Struthio camelus: one gene and its partner. Each later gene encodes a partner of the first gene's protein in a complex. Links are inferred from orthologs where the notes say so. Each region holds a gene or a part of one and is shown on either strand. Other genes may lie near its edges.

Region 1 (8,006 bases):
GACGCTGGGTTGGGCAGCAATGACGCATTTTATCAAAGAACAAAATTTTACACATAATTCCATTTGGAAGACCAGTATTTAGGATGCCAGTTATGCATTTAGAATAGGTAAATGATAAGCAGAAATTCCTATCACAGAGTATAAATTATTGCTGCAGTAGGATAGTATCATCCAGATCATTAAAAAAATTAAGTGGGAACACATACAAATCCTCTGCAGAATCAGTTAAAAAGCTGAACATTTTTCAATTAACACATCATTTCATTAAAAGCAGAGAGCGTCTGCAGAAGCAGCTCTATTTTGAGAATATAAACTAAGTTAAATGTTTTAGCATTGTGATCTGAAAAATAACGTTACCATTTAGAAATTACGTTCTTAATAACGTGATTTACTTATCAGGGCCCGTTAACAAAACGCACACCTTTTAGATGTCCCAAATGCTCTCCCCAAATAATATTTTCGAAAATTGCACTTTTGTTACAAATTAAAAAGAAATAATAATAATAACAAAAGATATCTTAAAATTTGTACTCTGTAGGAAGCTGTTTTGATCAGAACTAACATTTCACATAATTCATGTAAAATAAGTAAAACAGAGATCATAGATTTAAAGTAATCAATTTTATAAGCAAAGAGACTACTGATCCTGATTCCAGCAAGACGTCACTGCTATAAAAGTTAGACTCCCATACTGCTCAAACAAAACAGCGTTACAGCGAACAAACCTGTTTTGTCAGCTAGCTTTCGTTTCTGAGTTTTGGATAACTGCTCCTTTTTATCTTTCTTCTTACTTGCTGGCACATCAGGAGTTCCAATTGCAATACTATTGCTTGCTGAAGTCTGAGAAGGATAAAAATTGCTATTAATATTTTGCATTCACCTATCATACTTAAGAAGCCAGTATAAATACAGAATGAAGATATCTGAATATGATTACTGAACCAGACCTACTGAAATATCTTGACTGTCATATATATATATATATAAAAATATATATAGAAAAATTATGACCACAGAACATTGTGGCACCATATTCCATGTGCCACTGTTTACTTACTAACATGTTTATATGCAGTATACTGATTAACATGTTAAAGACGGAATGATAAAGTATTTAGAGTTCTAATAACCATTTTTTGCTATTTACATATAAAATATTTGAGAAGTGATTTAAAAGCAATAGATTAGGATCTCAGTTTATCTACTTACCACAGTGTTAACAGGCTGATTTTCCATGAACAATTCTTTATTATCTTTGGCATATTCAAAAAGCGTATACGTCATAGCAGTTCCAAGATTAGCTTCAACTTCTACCATTAATTTATCCAATATGCTTTGTTTAACTGTTGAAGATCTAAAAGAAATCATAAAATTCAGTTACAATCTTGACAGAAGAAGAAAAGTTTGTCAACCAACAAATCTCCCCAATATATAAAAATAGGGAGTGAAGCTGTCCTAAATATTTACATTGTGTTGTTGAAGAAAGCATCCATCGATATGACTGGTGCTGTTTGTGGATATGTTTCTGGCCAAGAAACTTCTATTAGAAAGGCTTTGGGATCTCCATTTTCACCTATCTGGAGGGAGAAGAAAAACCTCATAAATTAACAGTTTTCAGTTGCTCATTAAAGATTACAATGCCAGTATGTGCATCTTTCACTTAAGACTATTGAAATTTCTTCTGAAGATAACAACTATTTTCATGCTATTACCTGTCAGAAAATAAAGCTCTTATCTAGAAAAGAAGTATTACATATGAACATTAACCTCTACTCTGCAGTTTTCATCCTATGAAAATGGAGCAGAAGCATTCTAAGTTATTTTTATGGAGATGTTGCTTGGTTTTAAATGCTTCTTTGTAGTGTCTACAAGGCAAATACTACACAATCATATATGAGAAAAGAAAATATGAAACCTTCTTTTTTCTCCATTATGAAAATAAACCATAACACAGTGGTGAAATACAGAACAAAATAAATTAATGACCTAAGACAGCACAAGTAATAGGTAAAAATTTTAGTATTTTTGTCTTACCCTACAGATATTTTAGCTTACAATAAGAAAGAATGACTCAAAAGAACAGTCAAGAAGCCAGTAGAATGAAACTAGGCGGAAAAGAAAAAAAAAAACATAACGTTATGTTAAAAAAGGCTCACTTTAACCGAAATAACATCTAAGTCAAACACTCTCTCAAACACTTAGCTTTAGTGATTCATTTAAATTGTATTTATGATCCTTACGATTATGTTAACTTCTGTGAAATAAAAACTAAAACAATTTTTTACAGAAAATTAGTATAGGCTAACAAAAATGTACCACAGAAAAAGAAATAAACATTTCATACATGGATTTGTTACACTACTGTAATTAAGTTGGTTTAGTTAGTATTTTAAAACCACAAGAAGAATTTCCTTAATTTTAGAAGCGTCAAAATCTGGCTTCATCGACCTATGCGGAATGAAGTGCAGTCAAAAAAAATTCCTAATCGAGACAAGGCTACTGCACTTTAAAATGGTTCAAAATTCAAATGATCCCATTTCAATATTTTGAAATCAGTGTTTTTCATTTTGTTTACGGTCTCTGTGTCAGCAGAGTAGACTAAGTGATATTCAGTGGCATCTGTTTTAGGGTTAAAGGCATTAAATCAGGACTCTGCTACATTTATCAAGACATCATCCACGGTGAAGCAGTCCACTTCCCAGAGCCACCATGAAGAGAACTGGTGGTATGCTTTACAGAGTTTTCCTCATGTCAGGAAAACACTGCCTGCACATTACAGAGTAAAACCATAGAGAAAGATGCATGGTTACCACTCCTCCTGTCAGTGCAGCCTGCAAATTGGGCAGCCTTACTCTGAATGATGCTGCTACATTTTCCTCAGGATTTGAAAAGTCTTTCTTTAATCTCAATTTTTTTAGCACAGTGATTACAAAATACCTATGTGGTAGGCAAATGAGGTTCAGAAAAAGAGCATATTAATTCTTTCAACTTTATCATGCAGTTAATCGTACTATACTATCTTATAATGCACATTTTCTTTCACAAGAAATATGTGCTATGGTCTCTATCTGACACTAAGTATATAATATTTAAATTGGGTTCTCCTAATTTTTCCATGATTATTCTCTGTCTATGAAAAATTAGCAAGGACAAAAGCTAGCCAAATGTAGAATGCAACATTGTATGTAGGCAGGTAGGCAGGCTACATTTACTCTGCTGAGAACAAAAAATTTGCAAAGAAGCAGTCCTATCAATAAAGGAAGACTGCACTTGCATGGGTGGGATTCAAGTGCTATTTCCTAATCAACCTTTCTCATTACAATTAAAGGTGCTATTCTGAAGTCTTAAGAAATCATCAAAATGTTTTAGACGCCTACACCCCACTTGAGGGACACAGCAAGTTCAGAGTTTTTGTCCCATGTGCACCTAAGTTTTCATCAGTGAAGTTCTCTGACAGTCCAAAGGTTTGCCTCAGCCCACGCCCAGGAGAACTTCCAATTCATCATATTTGAGAAAGACGGCAAGAAATTCATGCCAAAGTGAATTGCAAACCTCAAACTAGAACCTCCTGCACTTTTCCCCAAAGCCAATTACACCAGTATACATACCGAAAGCATTTTGTGCATTTTCCTCCTTAGCAGCTAGAAAAGGCACATAAACTACCCCCAGAGAGAAAATGAGAACCTTGCAACTGAGCAATAAGGAAGGCGCAGACTTTACACATACGCTTTTCTGTAACTGTCATTTCCTACTGGCTATTGCAAGTATTACTCGGCATGCTCTGGCCAGTTTGACAGTTCTGTGCGTTACATACGCTATGCGTTAGACAGATGTGCAAGCAGATTACCTAGTTAAGGGATAATAAACGCACACTGGAGGCAGGTGCCTAAATATTAAGCGGTGTGATATCAAGCATCACCGTACCAAAGATTCTGGAACAGCAGCCGACAGATCTAGCCTTTGGTGCCTTTACAGCCTGTGGAGCACCCCTTTGCGTTACAAAAACTGCGCTGTACCTACAAAACGCACAGAGTAACGTCACGCCGAAGAGGATGTTGCACCGTCCGACAGGAAAACATCTGCGTCGCGCGGGCAGCAACGCCTTGCCCCGACCTACAGAACTTCACGCTGCCTTACCCTGTACTGGAAGGAAACCGGGCTCAGCTCCCTGAAACACGCGTCTCCTTCGTATATAGACCGCAACGCTTCCAGTTCCATCTGGAGGAAACACGAGAGAGCGATTAGCCATTTCAGCCGGGGGGGGGGGGGCGAAGCTCAAGACGCGGCCCCGGGGCAAGGCACGACGCTAGCTCCCCGGCCGAGGCCGGCAGCGCCCGGCACGGCCCGGCGCCAGGGGGCCTACCTTCCTGACGCCTGCCCGCGCCGCCCCTGCCGCGCAGGCCGCTTCCGGCCGCCGCCTGCCCTGGGCGCCCCCTGCCCGCACGCCAGGCCCCTCCCGAGGCGGGAAAGGCCGCCGGCGGACCTCACCTCCTGGTCCTCGTTGGCCGCCATGTCGCGCGCGCGGCGGGGGGAGGCGGCGGCGGCGGCGGCCGGAGGCCGGAGGCAGCGGCGGCCCCCTCCGCCCCCGCCCCCGCGGCCGGTTCGCCCCGGCAGGACCCCGCTGTCGCACAGGCAGCGCGGCGCGCAGGCGCGGAACGGCTGAGCGGCCCCGCCCTCCCCCCCCGCGAGATGGCATCACCTCACCTCATTGGCTCTTTTCTTCTTCCCGGCCTCACCTCCCCCGCCCCTCTCTTCCCGTTGGCTGGCGCCGCCAGCCTCGCCTCGCTTCCTTCTCCCGCTGACTGGCTGCTTCTCCAGTGTCGTCAGCACCCGTGTCCCCTCTGAGTGGCTGGAGGTGGGGGAGCAGGGGCACCTATTGGTTGCTCGTGCTGCCCGTCCGATTCCCGGCACTTGCTTCGGCCCGCCCTCGCCCAGCCGCTCCTAGGCGGCGGCGGTGGCGGTGGCGGTGGCGGTGGCGGGCTGTGTGGGGTTGAGCTCGCCGCGGTGAGCGGGGCCGGGCCGGGAGCGGGGCGCCGAGCCGAGCCGAGCGGCGGCGGCCGCCTGAGGTGCCGGTGCCGCCCTGCCGGCCGCGCGCGCCGAGGCCGAGGATGACGCCGGCGCAGTGGGACTTCCCGGTGGAGCTGTGCTGCCGGCCCATGGCCTTCGTCACCCTCACCGGCCTGGACGTGGTGTACAACGCCGTGCACCGCGCCGTCTGGGACGCCTTCTGCGCCAACCGCCGCGCCGACCGCGTGCCCATCTCCTTCAAGGTGCTGCCCGGCGACCACGAGTACCCCAAGTGCCGCACGAAGGTAGCCGCCGGCCGGCCTCGGGCCCTGTGCGCGGGGGCGGGCGCGCAGGCCGGCGGCGTGGCCCGGGGAGGACACGGGGGGGGGGGGGTCCGCCCCGGTGCGCCGTGTCCACCGCTCGCTGAGCTGCTAACGGCCCGGGTGCCGCTCCCTCAGCTGGTGTGAGGGGAAACGGGGGAGCCTGGGGGCCTGGGAAGGCTGTTGGCGCCTTTCGGCCGCCGTGGGGAGGGGGAGCCGCGGTTGCCGTGGTACGGATGTGTGGGGAACCAGGTGGCCTTACTTCAGGAGCGGCGAGCAGAGCACGTTAACGGGACTTGCCGTAAAAGCGCTTGCCCGTCAGTTGTTCTGTTTTTAAGGTACTTGCAAAGTTTGAGCTGTAATGAAACCTTAAGTTGAACGCTAGAAAACCAAGTATTTGAAATTAGCGTGTCCTGGAAAAAGTGAAGTCTTTACCTGAGTGGGACACAGCAGAAGGAGTTGTTGTGCTCTATTTTCTGCTTTGCAGGGGCAGTTAAGAAGCAATATCGGTGGGTTTGATCCTTGGAAAGCCACGTAATTCAGTGATGCTGGCAAGAAACTAAACCTCAAACCGGTTTCTCTTTTCTTGTTTTGGATCCTTTTGACAGCTTCTTGAGCAAATGGGAAACCCTTTGCAAAATGGGCCTAGTACTTCACAGAAGCGCGTGAAACACTTCTGAACCTAACCCTTTTGTAAAGTCTACCTGGAATCTCTCGTTCTTGGTTACTCGTGTCTCTGCCATCTGGCTCTGATGCCTGGGAGCGAGGTGTATGTCCTGCTTGTTAGGAGACAAAGGCTTGAAGGGAAGAATGTCAAAGGAAAGATGACAAACGTATCCCCAAGTAGCAAGGATGTACAGGCAATACCCCTTCTCCTACTGTACTGAAAGGACCATAAACTGACCTGATGGCTTGCTTTAATGTGTTAAATATTTTCAGAGAACGTCCTATGAGTGGTATATTCCGAAAGGTATCCTGAAGACCGGTTGGATGAACAAACACCTGAATTTGGTTCCAGCACTTGTTGTGGTGTTCTATGAACTAGACTGGGAGGAGCCACAATGGAAAGAAAAACAGTCTGAATGTGCTACTCGAGTTGAAATTGTCAGGTAGAGCTATTTTGTCTAGTTCGTGATGTACTACAAGCTAACGGCGATGTGTAAATTGCAGAATCCTTGTGGCATTATAAAGCATAAATATTTTTTTTCTTAGGCACAAATTCAGGGCAACTCAAACTCCTTAACTATTGTTTTCTAAACTCAGCACAACTGTTCTCTCCCATGTGAGCAAAGAAGAGAGCACTGCATTCTGTGGATGATGCAGTGTATTGTTGCATTCGCTTTTATTTCTCGTATACAGTCTTTTAATGCTTCCATCTAAATTGAAATCTCATTTTCTTCTGATTATTTACAAACATAGGATGAGACCTTGACATTATGTTATGTTATTTTTATTTTAGGCAAAGTTTGCAGGGACGAAATACGAAAGTTGCTGTGGTTTTGATTCAGAAAAAAACACCGTTACCTCCAGGTACTAGAAAGCTAATTAAACTGCTCTGTATACAGTTGTGATGATCTCATTTTTCCAGAAGGCCTGAACTGACCATCGTTTGTCACATTATCTACGGTTCTTAATATATTATCATTTATGTGTGTAAAATGCATTTGTGGCTGCACTGAGCTGTACGAATGGAGTGAACGCTCAAGGCAGCTGACCCTAAAAATCTGATGCTTCTGTTTTTGACTATTTCCTCCGAAGTCCAAGTGAAGCTTTTGATACTGTGTATCAAAAATGATATGTTAGTGTAATATGCATAATGTGTCTCCTTGTAAGTAGTCTGTATTTTAAAGCTTTCTGGAGATAAAGGAAAAAAAACATAAAAGTAATGAGAGCTTAGAGGAAGGGCATCTGGTAACTACGGAACCCTTTAGTTTAAGACTATTCAAACACTGCTAGTGTTTATCAATAAAATTTTGGAGCATAAGGTAGGACTGCTTGTTAAGTTCATTCATGCCTTCTCAGCTAGCTTCTCTCTGGATCAGCCAACTTTTAGGCCATACCTGTTTGATAGACATCTGGCAGGGAAGTCATGGAATTTCTCGGAAGGCTCCTTCTCTGCTCTGGATTTAAAGGAGAGCAAATTCCCCTTAATGGAGGGGCGAAGGAGTCTTTAAAAGACAAGATCCAAAGTAGGGAATGTGGACAAAAAACACATGACTTAAGTGGAATTGTGGAATTTGGTGGGTTTTAATTTTAAATTTCACTCAAGCTGCTACCTCAGCTCTAGCTGCACGCTCTCTAGCGTTTGGTTAAGGTAGGGTGTTTTGGTGAGGGGTGTGTTTATGTGGGTTTTTTTTTTTGTTTGTTTGTTTTCTCTCCATCTGCTTCTGGATGCCATTTTAGTCTTCAAGATACAGGATGTTTATCTGTGTGGGAGATTAAAAATTTAAAGAAATATTTGTGACATGCTTCTACCTTATTACAGAAGCTTTCTGGAGTGGCTTAGCTAGCAATCTCTTCCACTGGATGAAGCATGTAGTGTTCTGAATGAAGTCAAGAAGGAACACGTACTCAATGTTAGGTGTATTAAATTTTCCATACGTTGTATTGGTCAAGCTTTTAGAGCTAGTTTGACCTTGCACTACACAGTGCTTACTTGTGCTTTCCTTGGCTTCACTA
Region 2 (7,450 bases), on another chromosome or scaffold:
TTAAACAACTGGAACGTAGGCTGCACCACCAGGAATCAAGGTTGGCACTGCAACTGTGCCAAATAGCTAGCTATCAGGGAAAGCATCCTTCCATGCAGTTCATTTCCAAGGGTATAAGCATCATCCAATCGTCCCTAAACTAAAGCTAGTGCAGTATTTTCAGAAATTAAGCCATACTTATACTTATTGAAAGATATCCCTGTTTATGAACTCAAACAATACGATAGGGGAAAAATGATTAACCACTTGAACATATAGCCTGCTAAACAAAGGGTAAACTTACTGTATATTCCAAATTGGTAAATATAGGTCAACTCTGCAAAGAACAAGTAAGAACTGGATAACTTCGCTGGCAAACAATGGCTCTCAACTACACCCCTGAGATCCTGTTTATTACAGGCACATAACTCAGGATACTGATGAAGTCTACTAAGGTTCCTTTCAAAAGCATAACTTTTCTGTACTGAAGTGTTTTGCAGCTATTACTGTTGCCCCTTACTTCTTATCATGATCCATAGTCACATCACCCAGCCCTCATTTCATGAGAGGCAGCATCTCACGCTTTAACTCATTATCCATTACTCTGCAGTTGTCTCATTTTCACTGCAGTTGGAGGACCTGCTCCGGTTGTTGTCAAAGTTTTAAAAAACACCAAAGAATCACACATGCTAGAATTCACACAGATTATGCACGTTTGCACAACATTCATATAGCGTACTTAGACATTGAAGAGGCAGAAAACCACTCATTTTGAGAAACCACACTTTGTGGGTTATAATGGAACTGTGGGAGTGCATGAACCATATAAAAAGAAAAAGCTGCAGTCATCTGATAAAACAAGGGAGGGGAAAAAAGCAGATTAAAAAACCTAACTAATCAGGCAGAAAACTGAATTAATCATCAGTTTTAATCTTGCTTTGCCATTAGATGCTTAGCTTTTTCTCTGAAGAAAAGCTGCTTCTCACCGTTATTTGGTAAAACTTTTTGCCAAGTAATTACATATACCAAATAGTTATACACAATTGCAGGGCTCACGATTTATACCTTTAGTTTCCATTTTCATTCATCAGAACAGTGAATGATGGAGTTCTTCTAAGGAAGACACTCTTATTCTGCTGAGCTTTATTTTGATGAAAACTAGATTCAAATAAAAAAAATAGTAAATGATTTGTCTACTAGTAATCTTAGTTATGTCGATATATAAAAAATACTTGGCACGTAAAACTGATAATAAAATTATTGCAGTTTGATTTCCAGTAACTTAGTGAGTGGAGCACCCCAGAAGCAATATAAGCTTTATGCTGTCAAATTTTAAAGTCTGGGCACACTGGATCATATCAAAAGTATATCAGAGATTGGTACACTGTCTGTGACAGCAGTCAAAAGCAGGTTCTTACCGACTTTTGGAGACAAATGTGGTTTCGTAGTCTGCAATCCCTAGCAGAGCTTGTAGATTTCACAGTTTTACCACATATCGTTTTTATTCAAAGCAAGAAAGCAGAAAACAAGTTCCCCTCCCAACCCTTTTCTTCTTTTAAAAAATGCTCCATCATTTCAAATCTCAACTTTGAATAAACAAAGCCCTAAACTCTTTTTTAGAACTGAAGTAAAGTCTGGAAATAACTGAAAGAGCCAAACACAAGCAACAACAACAAAAATTTTTTTCAATTGCACCAAAAATTTTTTCTGAAGATATGCATCCCTCAGTTAAGCGCTTCTGATGTATGCTGGAGAGAAGTGTAAGCTGTGATGACAGAGCCATTACGAAACCAGGCTTAAAAAGAATAATAATATCTTTTACTAGACCTGGTGACACAAGTTAGAAAAACCATACCCATTTTAGGTTTCAGCCTCTCCATTAGAGACCGTCTCAAAAAGTACTGAGATGTAATTTGCTTTAAGGCCACATTGGCAGTTAATGGAGATCAAAAATAGAGCCTCCATCTCTACGCTGCTTTTCTGCCTTAGTCATAAAACCATCTTTTCTTCTCCTATTTTGTTTCTAAATGCATTAAGTGTAGACTCTTGGATTACAGCTATCCTCTTAGTCCTTTTGCTCCATCCTCCCATCAGATAGTCCTGTTACATACTCTGCAGGAAATCAAATGTCTACAGGAGATGTATTTTTTTTTTTTTTTTGGCAGGACCATGGGGGTCCCAGACAATGGTCTTTCCAAGATTTTGGAAGACTTATTTTACACAACTGAAAAAAGAAACTATGATTTTCATTAAAATACAAGATATAGTCTACTCTGTGATGAAAAAGAAATCTATGCATAAATTTAAGCTTTATATTAATTTTGAAGTAAGAGTTGCAGCCATCTTTAGCCAATCACAAAACGATATCATATTATGAAGACTCTAGCAGATCTAACATATACTACAGATCAATGTTTACACTAACTAGTATAGAAATGGAAAACAAAATAAAACTACAGTTTGCTAAAGAGATTTGTCGATACAGTCCGGATTACTGAGCATATAACTAAATAGGCTGGACATTAAAACAGGACATCAAAACCCAGCCCAGGGAGCCACTGCAGGTTGCCAGAACACGTTCCATGAGCACTTTGGTACAGGCGGCTATAAAATATCTGCATGTGTATACATACAATTACTTAGATAACCCCATCCACTGCAAAATGAAAGTGTTGTTCTGTCAGCTGCAGGAGGAACACAGCACCTCCTGTTGATACTACAACAATGATGGTAACCCAGGCATTGCCAAATGGAACATGTAAGAGCTGAGTAAAAACTTAATTGTGGAAAAGCATTATAAATTAGGAGCTCTCTCATCTATGCAACTGTTTAACCATTTATTCTACTAGAACTCATACAAAGTTGTACGTGACATCTGTGCTCCTCTACAAAGAGGATCAACAAATTCAAAAGTTATTAAGAGTAACACAGGTAGGTAGCAGGATCACAGCATCATCTCCCTGTTGCTAGAATCAGCGATGTGACGGCCAAATTCATGCTGTGGGACAAATCCAACAATGCAGAAGCTACATCCAGAAATATCTACAAACATTAAGTAGTTCAACAGTTGGGTATAACCTAATAAAATCTAAAATTCATTGGAAACAGCTATATTGCCCTCTTCTCACAAGATTTTTTTTTTTTTTTTGCTTAGTCTGCAACTGGAAACCAACCACAGGAACATCCTTGAGATCCCCGGTGTTCCCCAGTCATCCCAGCAGGAGACAAGGCCTTCTCCAGACGGGGACATGCAATTGCTGACAGAGCAGAAGACCAACAGCCGGGCTGAACGCGACCGTTCAGGAAGCCAACCCACAAGCCCTGCTGGCACCGCCCTGACGCATTCACCGTGCAAAGCGCCAAGTTTGGCGGCAGGCACCAACTCCTGCCCCGTGCTCACCCGCTCACGGCCCGGCGCTGCCGCAGGGCCGTGGTAGGGGCGCGGCCGGCGAGGCGCAGCGGCGGGCGGCGCGTCCGGCCTCGCCTCACCCCGCCGCCGCCTCCCGCTGGGCACCGCCAGCGCCGCGCCGCGCCGGCCTCCGGGGCGGCCCCGCGGCTCTACGCGAGGGCCCGGCACCCCCGCACGGCCCGGCACCCCGCCCGGCCCCACAGGCAGCGCGCCTGAGGACCAGGCAGGCCCCGCCGCCACCGCCGGCCCCTCCTCGCCCACCTGGAACTCCAGCCCGTAGATCACCGGCGCGTCGTCCTCCATAGCTGCCCGCCGCCGCCGCCCGCTCGCCTCTCCCCCAGCCTTTCTGACCCTCGGCGCTGCCCGTCGGCCGCCGCTTCCGGGAGGCGCGTTGGCGCAGGCGCCGCCCGCCCGCCCGGCCCGCGGCGCAGGCGCGGTGGGAGCGGCGCTCGGCGCGGCGGCGGTGCTGGCAGTGCGGCGGTCGGCGGGGCGGCGCTGCGCTGCGCTGCGCTGCGCTGCGCTGAGGTGAGGGGCGGGGCAGGCGCGCAGCGCGGCGGTTGCCGTCGCTGCGGCGGCCCCTCGCCGGCCGGGGACCGCCCGGGTGGGCGCTGAGGCGGCCCGGGGGGCGGCGGGCCCGAGGAAGGGCGGCGGCTCCGTCCGCACCGCGCCGCGGGGAGGCGGCGGCGGCGGTGGCGGAGGCCGCTCCCAGCGCGGGCGGCCGCGCTGTGCCCGGCGCAGTGCAGCCGCGAGAGCCGGCTCCGAGCCCGGCAGCGGCCGCCCGGCTGGGCCTGGAGCAGGGCCGGGCCGAGGGCCCGGGCCCGGTCTGCGCGGCGGGCGGGGGAAGCGCCGCTACCTGCAGCCTCGCTGAGGTCCCGGCTGCCGCCAGAGCTTCTGCGGGGCCGCCTGGGCTGGCCCTGGCTTCAGCAGCCCCTGGCGACAGCTGCGGCTCCGCCGGGACTGAACCCGCTCTTCCCTTCTCGCAGACTGGGGCTGAGTTAATCTTTCCAAGTATTTGGCCTTTGCGAGGCCAAATACCTTTTTTTTTTTTTTTTTAAACCTGTGTTTCATCGGAAGCATTTGCTCTTGAATCCTAGTATTTTGGGACTTCAGAACAGTAAAGAATAAAGAGAAGACCTTTTCTTATGATGAATTTATTCTGTGGTAAATGCCGAGAGAAATGTCAAATAGTGAAGTGGTTGTATTTTTAAATCAAGTATTTGTTTAGCTGTTGAGTTTCAGGATAGTGATTTTGACTAGGGCTTCAGTAGCAGAACTAATTCTTCCTTCATTTTTCTTTCTTTAGTTGCAATGGAAAGTAATGGGAGTAATGCTAAGGATGCTAAGAACGCTTCAGATGAAGAGGACAGTGGAGACAGAGTTCAGCAGAAAACTCGGGAAGATATTCTCTTTCATGAGGAAACCATTGATCTTGGCGGAGACGAATTTGAGTCTGAAGGGAATGAAACCGTATCAGAAGACTCTAATAATTTTATAGATAAACTTAATGAACAAATGATGGAGAGTGTCATTATTTCAGATTCTCCAAACAACAGTGAAGATGACACTGGTGACCTTGGTTGTCTGCAGGAGATTGTAGAACAAATGGAAGCCAAAGACAACCAAAAAACACAAGCAGAAGTGGGTAAGGAAGAGTTTTTAAGTAATGAGAGTGAAACTGAACATGAAGAAACACCCAAAGACATTTCTGAGATTGGAACAGATGATCAGACATCTTTAAAGGAAGAATCAATTCAGGAAGCAGTGAAAGAGGAACTGAAATTGGTAAATAACATTCCTGTTGGAACAAGACCAAGTGATACTGATGAAAGCAAACCTAAGGACCAGCTATCATCACCCAGTACTGGCAAACCGACTCCTGAAGCTGAGCCTATCCCTGTGTGTACCATTTTCAGCCAAGCAAACAATGTTAATACTCAGCCACAGTTGTTCCTGCATGATGGTTTTGAGCCTCAGATGGTAAAATCTCCCAGTTTTAGTAGTATAACTGAGACTCCAGTGAAGTCTAATCCACAGGTAGTTCAACCAAGTCCTAGTCTAAGCAAGTTTTTTGGTGATACTGTTAACACTAATACTTTAGGTTCTGATTTTTTTGATTCATTTACCACATCCAGTTTTATTTCTGTCAGTAATCCCAATGCAAGCTCTTCAGTCCCAGAACAAATGTCCTCTATTTCTTCCACTGGAGACAGTTCTCATGCTTCGCCTGACCCTACTTTTTCTCTGGGAAATGGGAGAACTGAAGCAGGTGGTCCTCCAGAAATATCTCAATCCCCCAAGCCCTTCTCACAAATCCAGGCTGTTTTTGCTGGGAGTGACGACCCTTTTGCCACAGCCTTGAATATGAGTGAACTAGACAGAAGAAATGATGCTTGGCTCCCTAGTGAGGAAACTAGAAACGTTCTAATTTCAGTTGCCACACAACAATACAGCACTGTGTTCATAGACAAAGAGAATCTCACCATGCCCGGATTAAAATTTGATAATATCCAGGTAAGAGTCTGTGATTATATGTTAGTCTCTGAATATATTTTAGAAATATTGAATAAGAGCTTTCCAATAGTTGTTACATCATCTTAGTGCTTCATATTGTTGCCTAGGGGCACCTTGTTTGTATTACTCCAATCCTTATCAGAAAATTTAGTGTGACTGCCTACTCATACGTGAAAGGACTAAAATAAGATCTGATGTATTCGTAGTGAAATTCTTTGGGTACATTGAAGACCAGTGTTGACAGCTTACGTAGAATCCGAAGCTGGTTGCTATTTTTAAGTCTTTTCAGTTAGTTTCGGCCCGTTCTAGTTGGAAAGATTATGCTCAGATTTGGAATATAAACTAAATCAGAATGCTGTCCTGTGAAGTCTGAAGGCAGACAGCTTTGTTTGCTTGTGGAATTCACTGTTGCAACCAAGCTGGAAAGAACGTTTTTTACAGTGATGTTCACAGTGCTGTGGATAATGTTGACACTGACTGGAATTGCATCATTTATATCTTTCCTAAGCAGTGGAAAGGCGTAAGCTATAGGAAAGATGAGTGCTAGAGCCAGCTGCTGGGAAGGAGCGGCATTCCAATTAGATCTTGAAGGGAAGAGCATAGTAGTGGAAACCCATTTCCTTCTCTTGTACCAGAGTTCACAACTGATGAGAAAGCATAAGGCTTTTCTTCAGAGTTCGGAGAAGTTTTACTTAGATCTGTTAAACGCTTCTAGTGAAGGAATTATATATCCTGGCAGCTCAGCAAAGCCAAATGGAGTTTTTTCTTGAAATAGGCAAATCCTACTTTTCCATATCTACGTCTGAATAGTAGAGTTGTCATCTAGAGAGGTAGTGTTGAGGGTTCAGATATTTAAGCCTTAATAATAGCATAACAAAGATTATCAGTTGGTAGCAGAATAAGGGTTCTTGCAGAACGGTCTGCAAGAACTTCTCAATTTGCAGTAACTATCGGAAAAGTTCCTGGAGTGAAAGTAGTTCGGACTTGTACCTGAATTATTTAAAAAATCTTAAGTTTCCTTTTTTGTGTCTGTCACTGAAGCAACAAATGAAAGATTTAGACATACACCATGCTGCTGCTGCTGCTGCTTCTTGGGTTAGCTTTATTTTAAAACGTTTGATTGTCATTGTAGAACCCAATCATTAGTGTGAAAGAAAATACTGTGGTAATATGCACCTCCTCCTCTACTTCATTCTACCTTCCCAAAAAATCACTTAGAGCTTGATGAGTAATTCAAGATTGTAATATTTCTCTCCTAACAGCTAATGAATGAAAAGAAAGAATATTTTCTTCCATGAGCCCAAAGGACAAGGTCCCTCTTATTGTGGCCCTCCATTTTTGCAATAGTTCTTTCTCGCTTTCTTCAGTTGAGTCAAGGCTTAAAAGGTTACTTGCACTGATCATCCCCTGAATCTAGGTCATATGCATATATGCAGATGTACCATTCAGTACATCATTGAAAAGAAGACATTTCAGCTGACCCGCTGTAAAATCAAGGAAGGACTCAAAGGGGATTCCTGCTACTTTCTTCATGGATTACTGTTTATAAAC

Evidence for each region. The genes of interacting proteins can lie anywhere in the genome.
Region 2: TRAPPC11 (region 1) and TRAPPC12 share a complex: the UniProt entries of both Homo sapiens proteins name them as parts of the multisubunit TRAPP (transport protein particle) complex. The link is inferred for Struthio camelus from reciprocal best matches to the Homo sapiens genes TRAPPC11 and TRAPPC12.

The regions. Positions count from the first base shown.
Region 1 is NC_090945.1:50,752,730-50,760,735, forward strand, and holds the start of TRAPPC11 (trafficking protein particle complex subunit 11), read left to right. Parts: upstream 1-4,977; 5' UTR 4,978-5,108; coding exon 5,109-5,312; intron 5,313-6,266; coding exon 6,267-6,436; intron 6,437-6,786; coding exon 6,787-6,857; intron 6,858-8,006. Other genes in the region: RWDD4 (RWD domain-containing protein 4), read right to left, coding at 726-840, 1,210-1,354, 1,468-1,577, 4,138-4,218, 4,489-4,512. UniProt on the Homo sapiens protein: Involved in endoplasmic reticulum to Golgi apparatus trafficking at a very early stage.
Region 2 is NC_090944.1:27,993,318-28,000,767, reverse strand, and holds the start of TRAPPC12 (trafficking protein particle complex subunit 12), read left to right. Parts: upstream 1-4,439; 5' UTR 4,440-4,530; coding exon 4,531-4,549; intron 4,550-4,691; coding exon 4,692-5,899; intron 5,900-7,450. Other genes in the region: EIPR1 (EARP and GARP complex-interacting protein 1), read right to left, coding at 3,650-3,691. UniProt on the Homo sapiens protein: Component of the TRAPP complex, which is involved in endoplasmic reticulum to Golgi apparatus trafficking at a very early stage.